Linked DNA regions of Sus scrofa. The protein of the gene in region 2 purifies or fractionates together with the protein of the main gene of each other region. This does not show direct contact. Links are inferred from orthologs where the notes say so. Each region holds a gene or a part of one and is shown on either strand. Other genes may lie near its edges.

The links. The genes of interacting proteins can lie anywhere in the genome.
Region 1: the proteins of TUBGCP2 (region 2) and MZT1 purify together in Homo sapiens (affinity purification with mass spectrometry; 4 studies listed by BioGRID and IntAct, counting the BioPlex papers as one, with this or other methods). This does not show direct contact. The link is inferred for Sus scrofa from reciprocal best matches to the Homo sapiens genes TUBGCP2 and MZT1.

The regions. Positions count from the first base shown.
Region 1 is NC_010453.5:45,015,584-45,021,814, reverse strand, and holds the start of MZT1 (mitotic-spindle organizing protein 1), read left to right. Parts: upstream 1-2,805; 5' UTR 2,806-3,028; coding exon 3,029-3,098; exon of another isoform or gene 3,099-4,164; intron 4,165-6,231. Other genes in the region: BORA (protein aurora borealis), read right to left, coding at 1,507-1,659. UniProt on the Homo sapiens protein: Required for the recruitment and the assembly of the gamma-tubulin ring complex (gTuRC) at the centrosome.
Region 2 is NC_010456.5:141,238,809-141,244,252, reverse strand, and holds part of TUBGCP2 (gamma-tubulin complex component 2), read left to right. Parts: intron 1-1,143; coding exon 1,144-1,351; intron 1,352-1,511; coding exon 1,512-1,711; intron 1,712-2,063; coding exon 2,064-2,253; intron 2,254-2,737; coding exon 2,738-2,883; intron 2,884-3,980; coding exon 3,981-4,161; intron 4,162-4,568; coding exon 4,569-4,749; intron 4,750-5,444. UniProt on the Homo sapiens protein: Component of the gamma-tubulin ring complex (gTuRC) which mediates microtubule nucleation.

The DNA of each region.
Region 1 (6,231 bases), on a different chromosome or scaffold from region 2:
CAGCAGCTACAGCTCCGGATAGACCCCTAGCCTGGGAACTCCCATATGCCACAGGTGTGGCCCTAAAAAGCAAAAAAAAGCTGAAAAAATGAAGCCTTCCCTAATCTAAAGAGTATGTCTCCTTCCACTTCACTCTCCTGTCTAACTACCAGTCACAGCATCATATTCTCTTGAAGTTGCCATTTTAGTTGTGTCTATTCCATTAGGGTCAAGACCGACTTTTCATTTTTGCCTTTGTTTTTTTTTTTTTAAGGGCCCGCACCCGTGGCCGCACCAGGAAGTTCCCAGGCTAAGGGTTGAATCGAACTGGAGCTTGTAGCCACTGGCCTCCACCACAGCCACAGCCATGGCAGATCCAAACCACGTCTGTGACCTACACCACAGCTCACAGCAACGCTGGATCCTTAACCCACTGAGCAAGGCCAGGGATTGAACCTTCCTCCTGGTGGCTACTAGCCAGATTCATTTCCGCTGAGCCACGATGGGAACTCCAAGATTTACTTCTTTTTCTTTCTTTTTTTTTTTTGTCTTTTTGCTATTTCTTTGGGCTGCTCCCACGGCATATGGAGGTTCCCGGGCTAGGGGTCGAATCGGAGCTGTAGTCACCAGCCTATGCCAGAGACACAGCAACGCTGGATCCGAGCCGTGTCTGCAACCTACACCACAGCTCACGGCAACGCTGGAGCGTTAACCCACTGAGCAAGGGCAGGGACCGAACCCGCAACCTCATGGTTCCTAGTCGGATTTGTTAACCACTGCGCCACGACGGGAACTCCCAAGATTTACTTCTTTTTCAAACAGTCTGCAAGCTAAGAACGGTTGACAAAAAAATCTGAAAGCTTACTATTTCACAACATGTGAAAATTACATGAAATTCCAAGTGTCCATAGGTAAAGCTTTGTGGGAACCATGCCACATTTATTATTTAAATACGACTTATGGCTGCTTCCGTAATACAAGGCAGAAGTGCACAGCTGCAACAGCAACCAGATAAGCTGCAAAGCCTAAAATATTTATTATTTGGCCCTTGAAAGAAAAATTTTGCTGACCCCTGCGTTAGAGTATAAGCTCCTTGAAAGTTTTGTCCTGTGACCCGGACTTGTTCAAGATGTCACCTCTGTACCCAGCACTGTGTTCAACCCAGAGCATTCAAATAATGTTTGCTGAATTTGTGAGAATAGATAATTAAACGACATGGCTTCTTCTCTATTACAGTGTTAGTACATATGTCATCAACCACATTATCTAGCTGAACCCACAGTTGTAGGAAACTAACACATTATCTATTACACTAACATGAAATCCTAAGTATGTAAAATAAAAAGAAATGCTAATTTAAAAAATCTGGTTAACTTATTTTTTGCCCAACAACTATATTATAATGAATGGTACAATTAAAAAGCACATTCCAGATACATATGTTCCAGGATAAATCACCTACTTATCTTGTAAAGTAAGATATTTACATTCAAAGCTATTTGTAAACACTAGTCAAGCATAACTTACTGGTAATTTTGTCGATTTAAAAACAGAAGGACTGGAGAGAGTTTGTTCATGGAGACTAGAATAATCACCAGGACTTTCGAAAGGATTTAAAACAGGGATCCTTCCTGGCGTTTCAGGTGTTATCTGCATTTTTGATTCTTTGACATCTCCCATAGCGCAGAGAGAAAACTAAAAAGAAATCATAAGTGTGTATAAAAGGACAAAGTTTCAGACATTCATTTTGACAATTAAAATATATTCAACGAACATTTCATAAAAGAATTAACTCAAAAGCTAGCACTCTTGGGATTTTTAAAAAATAGTTTAACAAGAGCTCCACATACATTTTCTCAAGGGTGATCCTCTAAATAACTTAGAAAGCTAGAGGGGGAAGGTGCTGGAGAGAGATTTTTGCAGAAAATCTACAAGCTCAGAGAATTTAAGTGGCTTACAAGTACCAGTCCAAATATGAGAGTTCCGGTCCACCTTCTAGGCAACTAAAGTTCACAACAGGCACAAAGCCTTTTTCAACTAAAGAATTTATACCTACAGTTTTTTTTTTTTAATTCATTATCTCAAGTCTCTAAGCACTTTGAGCATAATTCGGAGAGCCCAGTCATTTCCTAGAAAAATGCAATTACTAAACATCAGTTATTTACAGCAAGCAAATAAGAGACCAGGAAGCTTGTGCACCGTGCCCTTCTTGCACATTAAAGAGAGTGTGCCTGTTTAGGGCTAGGAAACTAACCGCTTTCGGCTGCCTTTTCTCGAACACCCTCGTTTCCCTAAGACCCCCAGGACAGAAGGCGAGACAATTATTTCCTGTCAAAGGAAGCTACAACCAGAGAAAAAGGACCTACTCCTTGGAAGGCTGATGTGCAGCTGGCCTCCTCGGGTGAAGAGCAGAGGAGGGCACTCACGCCGGTGTCATCGCCAGCCCTACTAGACCACTCTTTCTTGGCGCCCCTTCTTCCGCACCTACTCCCTGGCAGCTCCCATTCATCCCGGGAGAGCCGGCAGGCAGGTCCGGAGCTGGGCAAAGTGAGCTCTCCAATTCGAGACAGGAGGAAAAGCCAGGAACTACAGACAACGTACCTAGCTGTGTGTTTTTAAAAAAAAAAAAAAAAAAGAAAGCCCCCCCGCAAAGCGACTCCAGGACGCCCCGGGGGTGCCAGGCCGGCTCACACGACAGGCAGACTCTTTAACTCCCCGCTTCCGCGCTGTCTTAGGCCAACCAGGGCTCTGGCCCTGTGGGCGACTGGCCAATCGCGCCGCACCGCTGTCCGCGAACCAGCCAATCGAGTCGAGGCCGCGTAGTAAATTCGAATGGCAACTCCTCGCTTCGCATTCCGCGTAGAGTAACGAGGCTCCAAATTCAAATCAACGCAGCCTCACGCCGGCGACGGGCGCGAGGGGCGGGGCTGCCAGGCGTGGGCGGGGCCTGACCGGCGTGAGAAGGGGACGCGCGGTGTGATTGCCCAGGAGAAAGGAAGGCGCTCCAGTTCCGGGTCAGGCCCTTCGCTACCCTTCCTCGGCCTTCACCATGGCGGGTAACAGCGGCTCCGGGGCTGCGGCGGCGGCGAATCTGAATGCAGTGAGGGAGACCATGGACGGTGAGTGCCCGTTTCGCCCCCCTTTACCTTGCATCCGTTCCTTAAAGCCAGCGCCCCCAGGCGGGGGTGGGCCCAAAGGGACTTCAGGTCCACTTCCTGGCCTGATCTGCATCTTTGGGGAGTCTGTCAGGGCACCCCGCCAAGGCCGCGGGGCTGATGGCCTCATCCCTTCGGAGTCGTCTTTTCGCTCCTGCGTAGTTTGTCGCGCGCACAGCGTTGCGGCCCCACGTCAGCCCGGCGCGCGCTCAGCCTCTGTCGCGCTGGACCGCGCGCGCAGTCCGTGTCCAGCGTGCACATCCCACGCCCCCTCCCGCGCCTCTCTCCGGGTGCGACGCCCCCCTCCCCACGCCGTGGTCTTGCGTACCCGAATCCTGCCACCGGAACGCTCAGCCCACGCCCCCTCCCTATGCCACGCCCCCTCCCGCTTCGAGTTCCCGCGTCCTTCCTCTGGTGCGGGCCTTGCCAGCCCCGCCCAGCTGGCTCACTCCCTCTACTGCGGGGAGCGCCTCAGAAGCCTCTGCCAGACTTTAAGCCCCTCGCGGAGAGCGGCCTCACGTGTTTGGTCACCGCTACATCTTTTGTCCCTTGCACGTCAGCAGGCGCATTTTAAATAGACCGTGAAGGAACAAGTTGTGCGTTTATCAAAAGTGCAGCGGACCGGTTTAGTCTTGGAGCAGGTGATGCCTGTGTCGAGGGCTCTGGGCGTATTTACCTGTTTTTCGAGTCCCGAGCACGGGGGTAAAACCTACCCGCAAGTAGTAGAAAAATAATCGCGTGGAAGTTATCCTCTCCTCTCTGCCACTTTCTACCCCAGGTGGTGGTGGGCTTGGACAAGCTGCTTAGACATCCTTGAGCTTGCTTTCCTCCCCCGCCCCCCGTAAAACGAAGTTACCTAGAGTTGTGTGAATATTTAAATAAAAAACCAAGTAAGGGCATCTCAGAGATAGTTAAAAGATAGTTCCTGTACTTTGTGTATAAGATGTTATCCCACTTGCGGACGCCTCATTTGCGTCCCCCTGTATATGAGGATTTGATGCATGTTAAAACTTTGCATTTTCCAGAGGATACCACCTCACCTTCTAATTCTGTCAAAACTAGAAATTTTCACAGGTAAGCATTGTCAGCCTTCATGCCTCATCTCTGTCTCACTGTAAGGTCCATTTCCTATCAGAGCCACTCTTTGTGGAGACTTCTGATAATGCTTCTGCCTTTTTTTGCACTGGCTGGCTGCTCTCCTTTTCAAAAAGACTTCTTTATATTATTAGCGCTTTGGGGTCTAATATTTTACTTAGTTGCTGCTTTGCTATTTTTCTGAAAAATAGACTTTTTTTCTTAACTCCGTATTCAGCCTGTTTCCCATCCTTATTGATATATCATAGCTTATTAGGTGTTAAGTGGATTTGTTTACATGGTAACTATATGTGAACAACGTTATGGTCTTAGATATCCATGCTTGGAAGCCAGTGTGGTTTTTGAACAGGATGGAGGGTATATGAAGCCTGACTTGTAGGCAGTTTTCTTTATGTTAGCTGTGCTTAGGTTCCTTAATTATATGGCCACAATATCCCATTTGAATAGAAAACTGACATTTTCTCTCTGGTGGAACAACTGATGTAGAAAGGAGAACCAATCATTTGTATTGGTTACATTATCAAGATTTTTGCCGAGAGAACTTTATGTAAAATGAAGATTACAGAGTATAAGAACATGAAAAGGTAAAGAAAGACCAGGCTTTTTTTTTTTTTAAACCAGCATCGGAGGCGAGCATGTGTGAATTAAAGAACACTGCTCCTCTACACATGGTTTGCCCACAATCCAAAAAGTAAAAAGGAAGGCCCCAGGTTGCCAGTGAATCAGGATCTGTTAAATGTGCTTAGGAACTGTCGTGTCCATTAGAACTCCAAACTTACAGAAATTCTGTGCTGTCTTGCCATAATTGGGTCCAAAATAATCAGTCACATAAAATGTGAAGTTTAATTATTGCTAAGTTAATGAAACTATTTTCCATGCCACCTCGGATGATTAAGGCACAAAGGGAAACGTTGTGACACTTGGCAATGTTAATAATTGACCCTACACATTGCTGTGGCTCTGGCATAGGCCGGCAGCTGCAGCTCAAATTAGACCCCTAGTCTGGGAACCTCCATGTGCCGAGGGAGCGGCCCTGGAAAAGGCAAAAAGATCAAAAAAAAAAAAAAAAGAATTTGACCCTACATGGAACTGAAAAAAGTACTAAATGCAGCCATTTCATAATCCCCCCCAATTCCTAGAAATAGAGCTCTAACTTGCCCAAGGAACTGGGCTAAACTACTCAGGCACCATTATTATGTGAAATTCTGCCAGTGTGGGGTTTCACTGTAGTAGACTGAAGTGTTCAAAACCTTTTGGGTCTGGCAACCCTCCTTCAAGATCTAGTATATTTCTCTTCATTCTCTTCCTCCCTCCCTCCCATCCGTATTAAGAGTCAGCTCACAGTGCTTTAATCTTTTAAGTAATGTCAAATGAATGATTCGCAAGGGTTGTAGAATTCAGCTATGAACATTTGTAATTTTATTGTGAAATGAAAGGATTTTGATATGCACAGATCACTGGAAAGGACCTAATGTGATTTAGTAAAGGGTCTGTTGTAAAGGGCCTCCTCGGTGCTCTCTGAGAGCCTCAGCTTCTCGTTTCCTCTTTGAAATGTGAGAGGATCTTTCAGCTACCTTTCTCACTCCTCCCGTATACTTAATTGTCTCTCGTTTTTCAACATTTTGAAGTTTTAGATACTCTTTGTTGATAGCTTCATACTTTAATTATTCTTTTCTTTCTTTTCTTTTTTTTTTTTTTTTTCAGCTTTTTAGGGCCTCACCTGCTGCATATGGAGGTTCCCAGGCTAGGGGTCGAATCCGAGCTACAGTTGCTGGCCTACACTACACAACAACGCCAGATCCAAGCCACATCTGCAACCTACACCACAGCTTGCGGCAATGCTGTCCTTAACCCACGGAGCGAGGCCAGGGATCGAACCTGCAACCTCATGGTTTTCCTAATCGGAATCGTTTCCACTGTGCCATGATGGGAACTCCCTAATTCTTATTTTCTTAATGTTCTAGAATTTTTCATATGCCTCTAATTTCTTACTACTAGATAT
Region 2 (5,444 bases):
GTAAATGGTGCAGAGGTCAGCAGCCCTGCACTTGAAGACCAGGCGGCCAGACCTGCCCACCTCCAGGGTCGTGAAGGTCACGTCCGAAGGCCGCTAGGGCCGTGGAGGGTCTGCGTGGAGTGGCTCTGAGTCCAGAGGGACCGGTGCCTGGACAGGTGGCCGTTGGACTCATACCTGTCCCACCTCTGCAGATAGGTGTGTGCCCACGGATGTGTGCAGCCGGCAGTGCCCCTGTCAGCTTGGGTGTCTGGGCCGCCCATCCTGAGCTGCCAGGCCCCGGCTTGGGTGCCCTGCTGCTGACCTGGGTCCCCACAGGGCCTGGGGGCGTGGGGGGCAGGGGCCGCCCTGCGGGGCCGGGGCTCTGGCAATGTCGCGGACGCCTTTCTCTTGGTGCTGCCTCCACCAGTGGGGGTCTGGGAGGGCGGCAGGACTGTCTGGGCTGTGAGGAGTTGGGGGGCGGCCCTGGTCCGTGGCCTGTGACTGTTGAGTCTGTCGGGGTCACAGGGAACCATCTCAGTCACGCGTGGGGTGGAAACCGTCGGCTCTTTGAAGCGTTCACAGAGAACCTCCTTATCCTCACACGGCCCGGGCTTACAGCTTGGAAGTACGGCGCGCATCAGAGGTGCTTCTGGGGAGTTCCCACCAGGGCTCAGTGGGTTAAGGACCCGACTGGTATCCATGATGTGGGTTCGATTCCTGCCCTCGCTCAGTGGGTTAAGGATCCAGCGTGGCTGTGGCCTAGGCCGGCATCAGCAGCTCTGATTTGACCCCTAGCCTAGGCACTTCCGTATGCCGCGGGTGCGGCCACACACAAAAAACAGTGCTTCCGATTCCCAGCCTGGTCCCTTTAGACAGGAACGCACGCGCATGTGTGTGTGTGTGTGTGTGTGTGTGTGTGTGTGTGTGTGCACGCATGCGCGCGCATGTGTGGGCTTCCGTTTGCTTGGTGCGCGCAGGCTCTGCCAGGCAGGGCCACTCCCAGGGTGCCCAAGCGCCTCTCCTGGTGGTCGCTGTGGAGGCACAGCCATTGGGGCCCCGCATGAGCACCGTGGTTCCGCCGTCCACGAGCGCCGGAGGCAGGTGCGCGAGGGGAGCGCACGGGGAGCCTGGCGGCGAGGCCCCAGCCGGCATCTCGGCCCACAGGCTCGCTGCCCCTGGCCTCCCAGGAGGCGGCCGTGGTGGAGGACCTGCTGTACGTGCTGGTGGGCGTGGACGGCAGGTACATCAGCGCCCAGCCCCTCACGGGCAGGCAGGGCCGCACCTTCCTGGTGGACCCCAACCTGGACCTGTCCATCCGCGAGCTGGTGAGCAGGATCCTGCCGGTGGCCGCCAGCTACTCCACCGTGACCAGGTAGATGCGGGAAAGCTGCTCAGCCCTCTCTGGGGAGAGGCCCCGGGGAGCAGGGACGAGGGCGCCTGGGGTGTCTCCTGGGGAGGAGCTGCGTGCAGGCGGCCTGGCCTCCTGAGGCGGCTGTGCCCTGGGGCTGGGCTGTGTGCCTTTCGTGCTGCAGGTTCATCGAGGAGAAGTCCTCCTTCGAGTACGGGCAGGTGAACCACGCCTTGGCGGCTGCCATGAGGACACTGGTGAAGGAGTACCTGGTCCTGGTCACGCAGCTGGAGCAGCTGCAGAGGCAGGGCCTCCTGTCGCTGCAGAAGCTCTGGTTCTACATCCAGCCTGCCATGCGCTCCCTGGACATCCTGGCCTCCCTGGGTGCGGCCCGGGCTGGGGTGCTCAGCCTCCACTGCTCACGGTCGCGAGAGCCAGGCTGTGTAGCTTCGTGGGGAGTTAGCTGGTGTGTGGGCGGAAGACAGGGAGCGGTCAGGGGAGTGGCCAGAAAGTGCAGCCTTAGAGTTTGAGTCCATCCCACAGAGAAAGCCTGTCCCGCATTCCCGTCGTGGCCCAGCAGGTTAAGAACCTGACTGAAGACCAAAAAAAAGAAAGAGAAAGCAAGCCCGTCCCCCGAGGAGGCGAGAGGGGCGCCAAGGGGCTCTGGCCCGGCACGGGGACCCCGTGGCACTGAGCCCTCTCAGCACTGAGCCCCGCCTGCCTCCTCCCCTGGCAGCCACCTCGGTGGATAAAGGCGAGTGTATCGGCGGGGCGACCCTGAGCCTCCTGCACGACCGCAGCTTCAGCTACACGGGCGACAGCCAGGCACAGGAGCTGTGTCTGCACCTCACCAAGGCCGCCAGCACGCCCTACTTCGAGATCCTGGAGAAGTGGATCTACAGGGGCATCATCGACGACCCGTACAGGTGGGCCCCGGGGCGCCCGCGCGGGCGGCAGGCCCTTCTCAGCATGGCACCTTGCGGGCCCAGAAGGAGGCGGGGCGGGGGCTCCCGACGCGTCCAGCTCGGACGGGTGTCTGTCAGCTTGAAGGAGGAATCTGCTGCCCAGAAATAGTTTTCTCGGTCAGCGGCCCAGTAGCAGCGCCTCGTGTGGAGGCCTAACGAGGACGCCCTCCCACGGTCGCGACGAACGCAAGCGACCTCTGGCCCATGACGAGAGGGCGCCTGCTCTGTTGGTGACAGGCACACGTGCCTGATGGGAGTGCCGTTTTGTTGCCCAAGCTCGAGGTTCCAGCAGGAGGGGCGACAGCAAAGAGGCGTCAGCCTCTCGTCCGCTCCTGGGGCCCCTGCGGCGAGGCCGGCGGGTCCACCCGCACACAGCTGAGAGCCAAGGGCGCTGCGGCTCGCGCGGCCCTGGCCGCCCCTCCAGCCCGGCCGCCCTGCCTTTCAGCGAGTTCATGGTGGAGGAGCACGAGCTGCGCAAGGAGAAGATCCAGGAGGACTACAACGACAAGTACTGGGACCAGCGCTACACCGTGGTGCAGCGGCAGATCCCGTCCTTCCTGCAGAAGATGGCCGGCAAGGTGCTCAGCACAGGTGACTGCTGCGCCCAGGCGTGGGCGTGTCTCAGCCCCTGGGGACACCTCAGTTCGGACACCAGCTGCTCGGGGTCGGTGCAGGCCCCACTGGGTGAGGGCTCATTCCCCCGAGCACCGCCCCCCCCAGACGCCAGCCACAGGTGCCGGGTCCTCAGGCCACAGCACCTCTGTCCACCGCCCCTCCTCCTGTTGCTGTGACGGCTCCCGGAACCCGGGGGACACTTGACCCACGGGGTTGCTGGCCTGCTGTAGAGGACGTGGCGAAGGATGCAGGTGGCCAGCCCGACGTCCCCGGGGCAGGTCTGGAGGGGTCGGTCCTGAGCACAGGGGCGGCTGGCCCCGTGGAGCTGGGGTGCACCGGCCATCCCCCCGCCCCCAGCCCCCAGCAGCTCAGAGGCTCCCAGACCCCTTCCCGCGGGGTTTTCACGCAGGTCCGGCCACAGTGGACCCCCGGCCTGGTGATTCGCTCAGCCTCCAGCCTCCAGCCCCCCGGACGTGAGCTGAAACGGGGCCGGAAGGGTCCGCTCTCTGCTCACGTGGTGCTTCCTCTGGCCCCTAGCCCCGTCCTGACGCTCTGGAGGGACGGCCAGGAGCAGCCCCATTAGCCTGGACTCCGAGGGGTGGAAGGGGCCTGTGAGCAACCAAATCCCGAGGGTTTGAGGAGCTCAGGGCCGGGAACGGAGACCAGCTGCACGAGGAGTCTTAGGTCACAGTGTCTCAGGCCAGCTCAGGAGTCAGTCAGGGACACAGGCCCCACGTGGGTCAGGAACCTGACTAGAGACAGGTGTGGGTTCTGAGGGCCGGGCTGGGGAGGGTTGGGAGCTGATGTAGTACCTGGTCCCTGTGAGGCGCTGAGATGAGTCTGTGTCCCTGATGAGAAGAGTGCACACACGAGGGGTCACGGGAGATGGCAGCCCTTCAGGGGCGACAGCTGTGCTGCTCCGCTCTGGGCGAGGGGCTCCCAGGACGCTTAGCTGGGCCCTGCTCTTCCCGTCCCCTGGCCAGTGTTTGGGCTGCAGCGTCTGGGGTTCAGGCCTGCGATTTTATGACGTAAGCAGCAAAAATTGTAATGCGCCTTCCTGTGTCCCTCTCCAGGGAAGTATCTAAACGTGGTCAGAGAATGTGGTCACGATGTCACCTGCCCAGTGGCCAAAGAAGTCGTCTACACACTGAAGGAGCGGGCCTACGTGGAGCAGATCGAGAAGGCCTTCAGCTACGCCAGCAAGGTGCTGCTGGACTTCCTGATGGGGGAGAAGGAGCTGCTGGCCCACTTGAGGTGCGCCGGCCCGCTCGCACCGGGCTCTGCAGCCCGAGGAGCCCCACTCGGTCCCACCTGATGCCCCAGAGGCCGGCCAAGGGTGGTGTCTGCCCGTGTCCCCTTGTCTGCCGTGGCAGGGCTCCCTGACTGGGCCACCAGCCCCTCCTGGGGCCCCCTCTGAAGTCCTTCACAGCGTTTCTGGCCGCATCTCCTCCTGCACAGCTGGGCTTGGTGGTCCCGGGTCCCTGCTGCAGGTTTCCGCTCATTTTGAGCCAACCCCGCATCCCCTGTGAACGTACCTCCTGCTGTGGGCACCAGTGGGAGGCCCCGTGGGTGTGGACCCCCGGGGCCTGGGGGGCCCGCCGGCCCCAGCGCCCAGGCCGTCCTCAGGTCCGCAGCCTCCCGCCCCACCCGCCCGCCTGCAGGTCCATCAAGCGCTACTTCCTGATGGACCAGGGCGACTTCTTCGTGCACTTCATGGACCTGACGGAGGAGGAGTTGAAGAAGCCGGTGGACGACATCACACCCACCCGCCTGGAGGCGCTGCTGGAGCTGGCCCTGCGCATGAGCACGGCCAACACCGACCCCTTCAAGGATGACCTCAAGGTGGGCTGGGCGCCGGAGCCGCCGGAAGGAGGCGCTGCAGACGGCAGCCCCCGACGGCGGCCCTTCCTGCCTCGGTTCACACGCTCGCGTGGGTCTCCTCGGCTCGCGTGGGTCTCCTCGGCTCGCGTGGGTCTCCTCGGCTCTGCAGGGCCGCCAGTGCTGAGCGCCTGCATCCTGGGCTCAGTCCCTCGGGTCGCGGTGTGTGAGCCTTGCCAGCCAGGGCTGCGGTCTGCGGCCGTGGCTGTCCCGCAGGCGTGTGGGCTGGTCTCTGGCGTCTCTGGCCTCGTAGCCCCTCTGCTCGAGCGGTTTGGAAGTTTCCGGAGGATCCGAGAGGATGCTGGCTGCAGGGTTTGGTAGCATTCACCCAGGACCCTTCCTGTGTTGCGAGGGTCTGAGTATTTCTTGACTCCTCCCTGGTTACGGTTTGTGCCAGTGCTGAGTTTCCTGGAGTCGGTCTCGGTATTCCCGTGTACTGCAAATCTGCGTGGCAGACAGTTCGCGTAGTCCTGTTTATTCCTGCAGGGTGGCAGTGATGACCCCACTCTCCCTTCGGATTTTGGTAATTTGAGCAGTCTCTCTCTCTCTTTTTTGCTTTTTAGGGCCGCATGTGCGGCACATGGAGGTTCCCAGTCTGGGGGTCTAATTGGAGCTGCAGCTGCCGGCCTACCCCACAGATCACGGCAACCCGCTGAGCA